Canis lupus familiaris: one gene and its partner. The protein of the gene in region 1 interacts with the protein of each later gene in a pairwise test. Links are inferred from orthologs where the notes say so. Each region holds a gene or a part of one and is shown on either strand. Other genes may lie near its edges. The genes, in order: FNDC11 and GPBP1.

What was found.
Region 2: the proteins of FNDC11 (region 1) and GPBP1 interact in binary tests that used the Homo sapiens proteins (3 or more experiments, as listed by UniProt). The link is inferred for Canis lupus familiaris from reciprocal best matches to the Homo sapiens genes FNDC11 and GPBP1.

The regions. Positions count from the first base shown.
Region 1 is NC_049245.1:47,989,042-47,993,329, forward strand, and holds FNDC11 (fibronectin type III domain-containing protein 11), read left to right. Parts: upstream 1-1,394; 5' UTR 1,395-1,863; coding exon 1,864-1,998; intron 1,999-2,477; coding exon 2,478-3,482; 3' UTR 3,483-3,527; downstream 3,528-4,288.
Region 2 is NC_049223.1:43,424,201-43,428,725, forward strand, and holds the start of GPBP1 (vasculin), read left to right. Parts: upstream 1-1,545; 5' UTR 1,546-1,652; intron 1,653-1,746; exon of another isoform or gene 1,747-1,945; intron 1,946-3,197; 5' UTR 3,198-4,201; exon of another isoform or gene 4,202-4,215; intron 4,216-4,525. UniProt on the Homo sapiens protein: Functions as a GC-rich promoter-specific transactivating transcription factor.

The DNA of each region.
Region 1 (4,288 bases):
GCCCCTGGGGTCCCACCACCCCCAGGCCCCCACCCTCACGGCTCTCCAGCCTAAGGGGAGCCCGGTACTGCCCCCCTGCCAGGGCCCCGAAGGTGGGGGGGGGGGCTGCGGGATGGGCCAGTCCTGCGTCTCCTCCCATGCACAACCAGGTGTCATCAAAGATGTTTGCGCTCCGGGAACTGGGCCAGCATCATTCTCTTCCAACTGCCTGAGAATCTACAATTCTCTCAAAACCAAGAATTTAAGTTTTTATAGTTAAGTAAAAAAAAGGGGGGGTGGGGCCGAGGAGAGGGCAGAGGCCCAAGACCTGGCCCAGGAGGGCAGGGGTCTCCGGCTCTCTGGGGTGGGCTGCAGCCTGGGGTGGCTTCCTCCTCGGGCTCCCCGCTTTCCAGCGCCGCCTCCCCCCAGCCCTCACACAGCACCCCCTTTCCAAACCCAAGGGTGAGCATCTACTGAGCGGGGCAGAAATGGCATCCACGTGCCCCCCAGGGCTGACCTCTGCAGCCTCTGTGCCAGGCCTGGACTGCCCCGCCACCGCTCGCCGGGGGTCACCCCGAGGGGCCAGTGCAGCTGGGGGGAGTCCCTGCATGCAGAACAGGCTGGCAGGGAGCTCGGAGACAGGTGCCCTATCCTGGGGGGCCGCCAGGGTACCCGGGGGGCACGCCCACCCCCATCCTCCCCAAGGAGGCCAATAGCGCCTGGGTGTCCGAGAGGGGCCTCTGCGGGGAGGCCCCAGGCCGCTGACACGGCTCAGGGAAGGGGCTCCCTGGCGGCCCCATGTGTCCAGCCGGATGGGGAGTACCCGCCCAGGCAGTTGTCACCACCCGCCGGCGCCGCCCAGCTCTCCCCTCTCACCGGGTGCCGGGACAGGGCCGGGCAGGCGGGCGGCCAGCCTCAGTTTACTCCTCCCCGCGGGAGCCTACTTGGGCTTGGCTTGCGGGACACCTCGGCCGGTCGCCCAGTCGGGGCCGCCCCCTCCCCACACCCCGGCGGCGCCCGCCCCGCCCCCGCCCCCGCCCCGCCCCCGCCCCGTGGGCGGAGCGCACAGAGGCCGCGGTCGCCATGGCAACCCGCAGGACGCGGCGCGGAGCAGGTCCCGGGCGGCCCTCGCTCCCGGACGCAGGGCAAGTGGGCGCGGGCGGGGCGGCGGGGCGACCGGGGAGGGCGCAGTGGGACCCAGGGCGGCCCAGCGGCGGCCACCCCCGGCCCGGCCCGGCCTCGCAGACCCCCTCTCTGGTGCCCAGGGCCTGCTCTGGCTTCTCCCCGGGAAGGTGAAGGGCTGGCCTCTGGGGAGGGCCCAGACTGGGGTCGGCACCGCCCTGCCGCTCGGGGCGCTCTCAGCAAGTCACTCAACCTGCCAACTCTTTTTTTTTTTTTTTTTAAGATTTTATTCATTCATTCATGAGACACACACACACAGAGGCAGAGACAGGCCGATCGGAGGGAGAAGCAGGCCCCATGCAGGGAGCCCCATGTGGGACTTGACCCCGGGGCTCTAGGATCAGGCCCTGGGCCGGAGGCAGGCGCTAAACCGCTGACCCCCGGGCTCCTGCCAACTTTCTTTGTGATTAACCGAAGCCTTGGGTGGCTGCGGCTGGCCCAGAACCTGGGGCTGTCTCCCCGTCTGAGGGGCGGCTGGGGCCCAGGGCAGCCGTCAGACTGCTGGCCCTTCAAGGAGCGCAGCCTGCAGGGGGGGTCCTGGCGCCCCTGCGCCTGCCCCAGCCAGCTCCCTCCCACCGCCCCCTAGAGCTGGGAGCCGGGGCAGGGGTGGCACGGGAGGAGGGTCAGGCCCTGGAGTTGACGGCTGGCCTCAGATCCTGAACTGAGGAGCTACAAGGCATTTTAGCTTCAGGTACCCCGATTATGAGATGGGGCACCAGGATCTTCCCGCCCCGAGGGGCGTCGAGGCACAGAGTGGGGCTCAGTAACCAGGAGCTGAGGCCAGCGGCCACCCCGCCGCCTCCACTGGCTCCAGGCACCAGCTGGCCTTGTGTTTGGGTGAGCCCTGGCCCCCTGCCCCGGCCTGCAGTGACAGGGAGGGGTAGCAGGCCCACAGGGTGGTGGTGGCCCCCACAGGGAGTCTGCTGCTGCCCGGACAGGATCACACCGAATCCTCTCAACAGTCCCCAGGGCGCACCCTGAGGCCTCAGCCAGGCCCCACAGCTGCTCGGTGCTGCCCCAGAGCCCATTGGCCTCGCCCCTCCCTGTGTCATCACAATGACTCCTCAGCGAGTGGTTGCCCCCCAGCGGGCGGTGTTACCCAGATCTGCAGCCTGGCCACCTGCCTCCGGCAGCGCCTTCCCAGAGAGACGTGCTCCCCCATAAGCTGCTCCTGCGGGGCGGGCCCCGGGGCCCAGGATGGAGGGCAGCGGGCCCGGAGCCGCCCCCTCCGCACACAAACACTGACCCGAGTGAGCCCCCGCGGGTGGCGGAGGCCGCGGGCTGTTTCCGCTCACAGCCCCCGCCCCCCCCCCCAGACAATGAACTTGCAGGTGACAGGCCTGGGCCTGGACAAGATGAAGCTGGACAGTCCTCAGTCCTTCCTGGACCAGGAGGAGGCGGAGGAGGCGGAGGAGCAGCAGCTGCTGGCGCCGGCAGCTTGGCGGACCTACATGGAGCGCCGCGCGGCGCTGCGCGAGTTCCTGACGGCGGAGCTGAGCCCGCAGCTGCTCAAGCGCCACCACGCCCGCATGGAGCTGCTCAGGAAGTGTTCCTACTACATCGAGATCCTGCCCAAGCACCTGGCCCTGGGTGACCAGAACCCCCTGGTGCTGCCCAGCACCATGTTCCAGCTCATCGACCCCTGGAAGTTCCAGCGCATGAAGAAGGTGGGCACCGCCCAGACCAAGATCCAGCTCCTGCTGCTCGGGGACCTGCTGGAGCAGCTGGACCGCGGCCGCGCCGAGCTCGACGCTCTGCTGGAGTCGCCTGACCCGCGGCCCTTTGTGGCCGGCTGGGGCCTGGTGGAGCAGCGGCTGGCCGACCTGTCGGCGGTCGTGGACAGCTTCCTGGCCCTGATGGTGCCCGGGCGTCTGCACATCAAGCACCGCCTGGTGTCTGACGTCGGCGCCACCAAGATCCCGCACATCAGGCTCATGCTGAGCACCAAGATGCCCGTCGTGTTCGATCGAAAGGAGTCGGTGGCCCACCAGGACTGGGTCAGCCTGCGCTGGTTCGTCACCATCCAGCCAGCGGCACCAGAGCAGTTTGAGCTTCGCTTCAAGCTGCTGGACCCACGGACACAGCAGGAGTGCACGCAGTGCGGCATCATCCCCGTGGCCGCCTGCACCTTCGACATCCACAACCTGCTGCCCAACCGCTCCTACAAGTTCACCGTCAAGAGAGCAGAGAGCTACACACTGGTGTACGAGCCCTGGCGGGACAGCCTCACCCTGCACACCAGGCCGGGGCCCCCCGAAGGGCGCGCCCCCAGTCGGCTAGGCAAGCCGGGCCTGCCCCTGCCCACACTTTCTGAGAGATGATTTTCTAATATTTATCCACTAATAAAGACTATAAACTCACACACACACAAAGAAACAAACCTACTTACGTTTTAGAGGCAGCAGCAGCCACGCGAGTGTTTTCTTCAGACTCTGCCCCAGGCGCCCCGGGCTCCCGCCCTCTTTTCCCCGGTGCGGGCCCAGGCTGGACCTTCCAGGGTAGCCGGTCCCGGGAGAAAGAAACCGCAGTCCCGGCGACCTGCGGCCACGAGCAAGCATGAGGGATTCTCCAGGGGCCTCAGCCCCGTGGCCCAGCCCCTCCCGTCCTGCCCCAGGCCAGGGTTCCCCACGGGGACCTGTAGCTTCACGGGGACAGTCCGGGTTAAGTGAAGTCTTTCCCCAGAAGGAGCTAACGCTCATCCGCACGCCTGCCCCGGGGCGGTGAGGGCCGGGCAAGGCAGCCTGGCCCGGGCCTCCCCGAGACACAGGCCAGTGCAGCTGCCGCGTGGCGGCCCTCGGCGCCAGCTGCCACGCCCCGGGCGACCGGCCAGCCCCGCGCTGATGCCGCTACAGCCTGTCCTCGCCCTCCGGCTCGATCCCGCGACCTCGGGGTGCTCAGCCCGCTCGGCTCCGCGCACACGTCCTGCTGCCGCGGCTTGCCTGCGTCCAGGTCCAGGAGGACGGCCCTGTGTGGGGAGCTGTGGGGACCCGCCGTCCGCAGACCGCCCCTCCACTGCCGTGCCCGTCTCCGGGGTCGCAAGGGCCCCTGAGAGCAGGTGTGGCAGGAAAAGATGACCAGGAACAGGGATAGTCTCCCCCACTGGCAGAGGAGTGGTTTGCAGAGCGCG
Region 2 (4,525 bases), on another chromosome or scaffold:
CCTAGCACATTCAAGATGGACCGCCAAGTTGGTGGCACTCGGCTTCCCTGTCGCGCAACCTTAACTACGTTACTTAACCTGAACCAGTTTCCTCATTTGCAAAACGCTACAAATAACGTCCACTTCCTAAGCTGGTGTATGGACGAAGTGCCTGGCACAGATGCGGCATCCAGCTTGTGAAAATGCTCTTTTCCTTTCTTTGCTCTCGGCGAGGTATTATTTGCCCCAAATAGCTCTCTCCAATGCGCCTGAACCAAAAGATTGAGAGGTGTAATTTTTGTTAAGTTTGCATTCAAACATCCTATCAGGGAGCGTTTAGAAGCAGTCCATTAAAATACAAACCCCATAACGCATATAAAAGGACCATAAAGGGAATCCCCGGGTGGCTCAGCGGTTCAGCGCCCGCCCTCGGCCCAGGGCGTGATCCTGGAGACCTAGGATCGAGTCCCACGTCGGGCTCCCTGCGTGGAGCCTGCTTCTCCCTCTGCCTGGGTCTCTGCCTCTCTCTCTCTCATAAATAAATAAGATCTTAAAAAAAAAAAAGAAAAGGACCATAAAGTTTCTGCGCACGAAGCCCTTGTGGGCTGGGGGAGTACGGAGAGCCAAGGACTTCTTGTTTACTGGATTTTCTCTCTTTGAGACACTCCCCCCCCCCCCCCCCAAGCACATGTGGTTACTTTTCTACCTCTTAGAAAACTAACTTCACAGGTTTCAAAGACAGCCTTGAGTTACAAAGCGAAAAAGCATCGCTATTTGAGAACCATGACTACCAGGAAATCCACTGAAAAACAAGCAAACAAAAAACCAAAACTGTGTGGGGTGCGCGGGCCAGGGACCCCGTGGAATAAGAATGCTCTCACCTCCTGCAGACTTAGCAGGAAGAAAAATGATCAGCACCATCACACCCAGCAGCCGTTTTTGGCTCAAAGGGAATCCGAGCTCAGCTCCCACCGAGTCGGTCTCCGCCCGGCAGCCCGGGCTCCCGTACGTGTCATTTACGCCCGACACACTCGTATTTGCATAACATGGTGGATCCCCTGCTTCAGGGCGCCAATTAGCCCGGCGCCCGCGCGGCCAGCGCTCCGCCCGCGCAGGGCAGCGCGCCGGCGAGCATGTGATCTGCCTTCCGCCCAGGCCCGAGCGCGGAGCCCGCGAGCCGAACGCGCCGCGGCTGCTGCGAGCGTCCAGGCAGGGATCCCTGCACGCCGCGGCACGCGCCACTCCGGCTCGCGCGGCTGCCGGCCTCCCGGCTCAGCCTGCCCCTCTCACCCTCCCGCAGGCCCCGCCATCCCAGGCTCCCCGCGGCTCCGGGCGGGGGAGGGGCGGAGGGGAGGGGGCTCCTGAGCGAGCGGCGGGGAATTCCCCCTTCCACCGAACGTTCCCGATTGTTCACAGTCCTCACGTCAGCAGCAGGGGGTAATCCCCGACTCCAGCTGCTCCTGACGTCACTGCGCGGAGCCACCGCCCCCCACGCGCCCCTGCCTCCGGGGCTTCCTCGACGCCCCGCCCCTAGACGTGGCCACGCCCTGTTCCCCTCCCCCCACCCCGCCGCCCGACGTAGAGGGCGGAGCTTTTCCGGCCGGGGCGTGAGCGGTTGCTTGGGCCAGAAGGTTCTCTGGTGGAGGCGCTCCTCCTGCTGCCCCGCCCCGTAGGTTCGTTCGCACCGCTTCTTCCACACCCTTTCTCCCTCCTCCTTTTCCTCGCCCCGCCTTTCCCCTCCCTTCTCCTCAACCCCTCTAGTTCCTTCCCCGCCTCGCCACCTTCCACGATCTCGCGAGACTTGACCCAGAACATTGCGGATCGGGTCGGCGCCATTTTGGGACTGAGACTGGTTGTGGGGGAGGGAAAAGCGGCAAAAGGGGATTATTCAAAGTACCGAAAACCTCCTCCCGGGATCGAGCGCAGCGGCACCCCCAGGCCAGGGGCACCTCTGGTGTGGCAGAAGGTAACGCCGTCCCCGGTGCTCCGCGCTGGAGTCTGGGGGACGAAGGGGGGCGCCCCTGTCGGCGTCGGGGTTTGAGGGGGTCGGGAGCGGCGTTGGCGGCGCGAGGTGTGAGGCTGCCCGCGGACGCGGCGTGGGGGGTGGCGGAGAGCAGGGAGAGAGACGGCCGGCCGGCGCCGCGGCGCCCCTCCGGGTACCGACTCGGCCCCGGCGGAGTGGGGGCGGCGGCCGTGGGGAGGGGGTGGGCGGCTTAGGCTTGGCGGCTGGGGGCTGCTCGGCGGAGGCTGAGAGCGGGCCCGCCGCCCCCGGCCGGGTCTTCTCCCCCCGGCCTTCCGCACGCGCCCGCCTCCTGTGGCACTCCTGCTCCTCTCCGCGGGCCGGGGGAGTCGAGGCCGAGTTGTGGCCTTCGGCGTTTCCTCAGTAGCGCGCCCGCGCGCTCCGCCTCGCCGGGTCCGCGGCCGTGGCGGTGCCCCGGACTCGCCGCTGCCAGGTCCCCGGAGTCCTTTGGGGCCTGACGGGACCGCTTGTGTTTGCGGGGAGCGCCGCTCCTCCTGTGATTCCCGAGGACGGCGTGGCCCCTTCCGCCCCCTCGGTGCCGGGGGAAACCTGTTTTCTTAATTCGAGGAAATCGGGGACCGACACCCTGACCCCACAGCCGCCCTCGGGAGCCGGGCAAGTCTCCCCCTCAGGCGAACTGAAGCGATGTTCCTGCCCCACGTCTCACCTCCTTACTTTCTACCCTCAGTCGGGGAAAGGTCTCTCTCCTTTCAGGCATTCTGCCTCAGAGAGAGCGTCCTCTCTTCGTAGCCCCTTTTCTCTTAAGTTGCATTTGATGCTCCTGGCCCCACACCTGCCTGTTCCATTTCTCTGGGCCCAGAGAATTGAAAATAGAGGTGGTCTTTTATAAGATTCTGGGCCGGTTTCATGGTCTTAAATCTTACTCGAAAACTATAGGAAGGTTTATATAATCTCCTTGTATTATATCCGCACCCCCTTCCCAGTTGAGCTCACTTCTGGTCTCGGTAATAGCCTCTCCTACCTTTCCCTCTCCGTCTAAAGTCTTTTTCATACAGCAGACTGTTTTGGGGGCGATTGCTTGGGCAAAGCTGCTTTCAGACCCCAGTATAATTTCGTAGAAGTGAATTTCTCTCCAGAAGTTGACTCTTGGAGGTGGGGGTTAATTTTTAGCTCAAAATTAAAATTCATTGTGTAATTTAAGGTTTGTTTGTTTTTTTTGTGTGTGTGACTTTTACAGGTGATCGAATTACTCATATATGAAGATCATCTTCTAGGTTTTGTGTAAAAGGCCCCGGATATTTGAAGTGGCCATTTTGGGATTACAATGTTTTTGGATAATTTTGCCCCAGAAGTTTATTAAAAGTGGCAAGAACCATCTCTGAAGTCAATTTGTAGTAGTGAACAATTCTACAAGCTACTTAAAGAGACCCAGGCATTTCTTCAGTATTTTGGTTCAAACGGATTATATAACTGGTTAAATTATTTCAGCTGGTTTTTTTTGTTTGTTTTGTTTTTTGTTTTTTGTTTTTTGTTTTTTTCCCCTTCCCCCCCCCAACCCCCACCCCTCTCCTGTAGTTGTTCTTCAGCCCAAAACTGTAAGATATGTTTGATTTGTGTACTGAGTAGTTTCAGCAGTTTCAAATTACTGTTTAAATATTGCTGAAGTTTCATGGCAGTTTATTTTTACCTTTATTAAAAGTTTTAGGAAATTTTGACCTCAGCCCTTTTCATGTCACAATGGGACAACTTTTCTAAATGAAGACATTGAAAGAATCCAGAGTTTTTTTCATTTTATCTTTTATTTACGTGGAAATTTAAGATGTTGCAGTTTTCCAGCAGCGTGGTAGTATTGAGATAGCTGTATGTCTCTCTATATGCTGATATTTAGGAATGCTCTTCAGATGTGAAATTTTCTTTTTGTTTTTGCTTTTTGGCTCATAAATTGGATATTTCATCTGGAGTGGATAAATACAACAGTGACAAGTACATGGAATAATAAAGAAGACTTTAAAATCTTAAATCCAAGGAACTTGGCTAATTCTGGAGATAGCCATATGAAAACTTTAAAACAGAAGTATGGGTAGCTGACTTGAAGTAACTCTATGTCAAATAGTCATAGGTTAAGTATCTTCAAAGAACTTGGATATTATTTCAGAGGATACAAAATAAAAAAACAAACTGGAAAACATAAAGATTACAGAGAAAAACCCAACACCTTCCTGTGCAGTCCTTTTGGAATTTGTAAGTATTACATGGTGAGCAAACAAATACTCATTTGTAAACTGTAATGAGAGTCAAGTTTATCCTATGTTGGAAGCCTTTCAGTTTCTTGGAATAATACTGCTTGGCTTCAGTTTCCTGAACGGTGTGAAGACTACCATTAAGTGGATTGAAATGCCGAAAGAGTTAAGAATATTTCAGATCAAACAGTCCCTATGTTACCTTTTTTGTGCTTCTGAAGTAAATGAAATCCCTGTGGTCATTATTCATCTTAATTTTTATAGCTTCACAGATTGGGAAAAGGAAAAAACATATTTTATGTGTCTTGCTAGCCAGTTTATATTT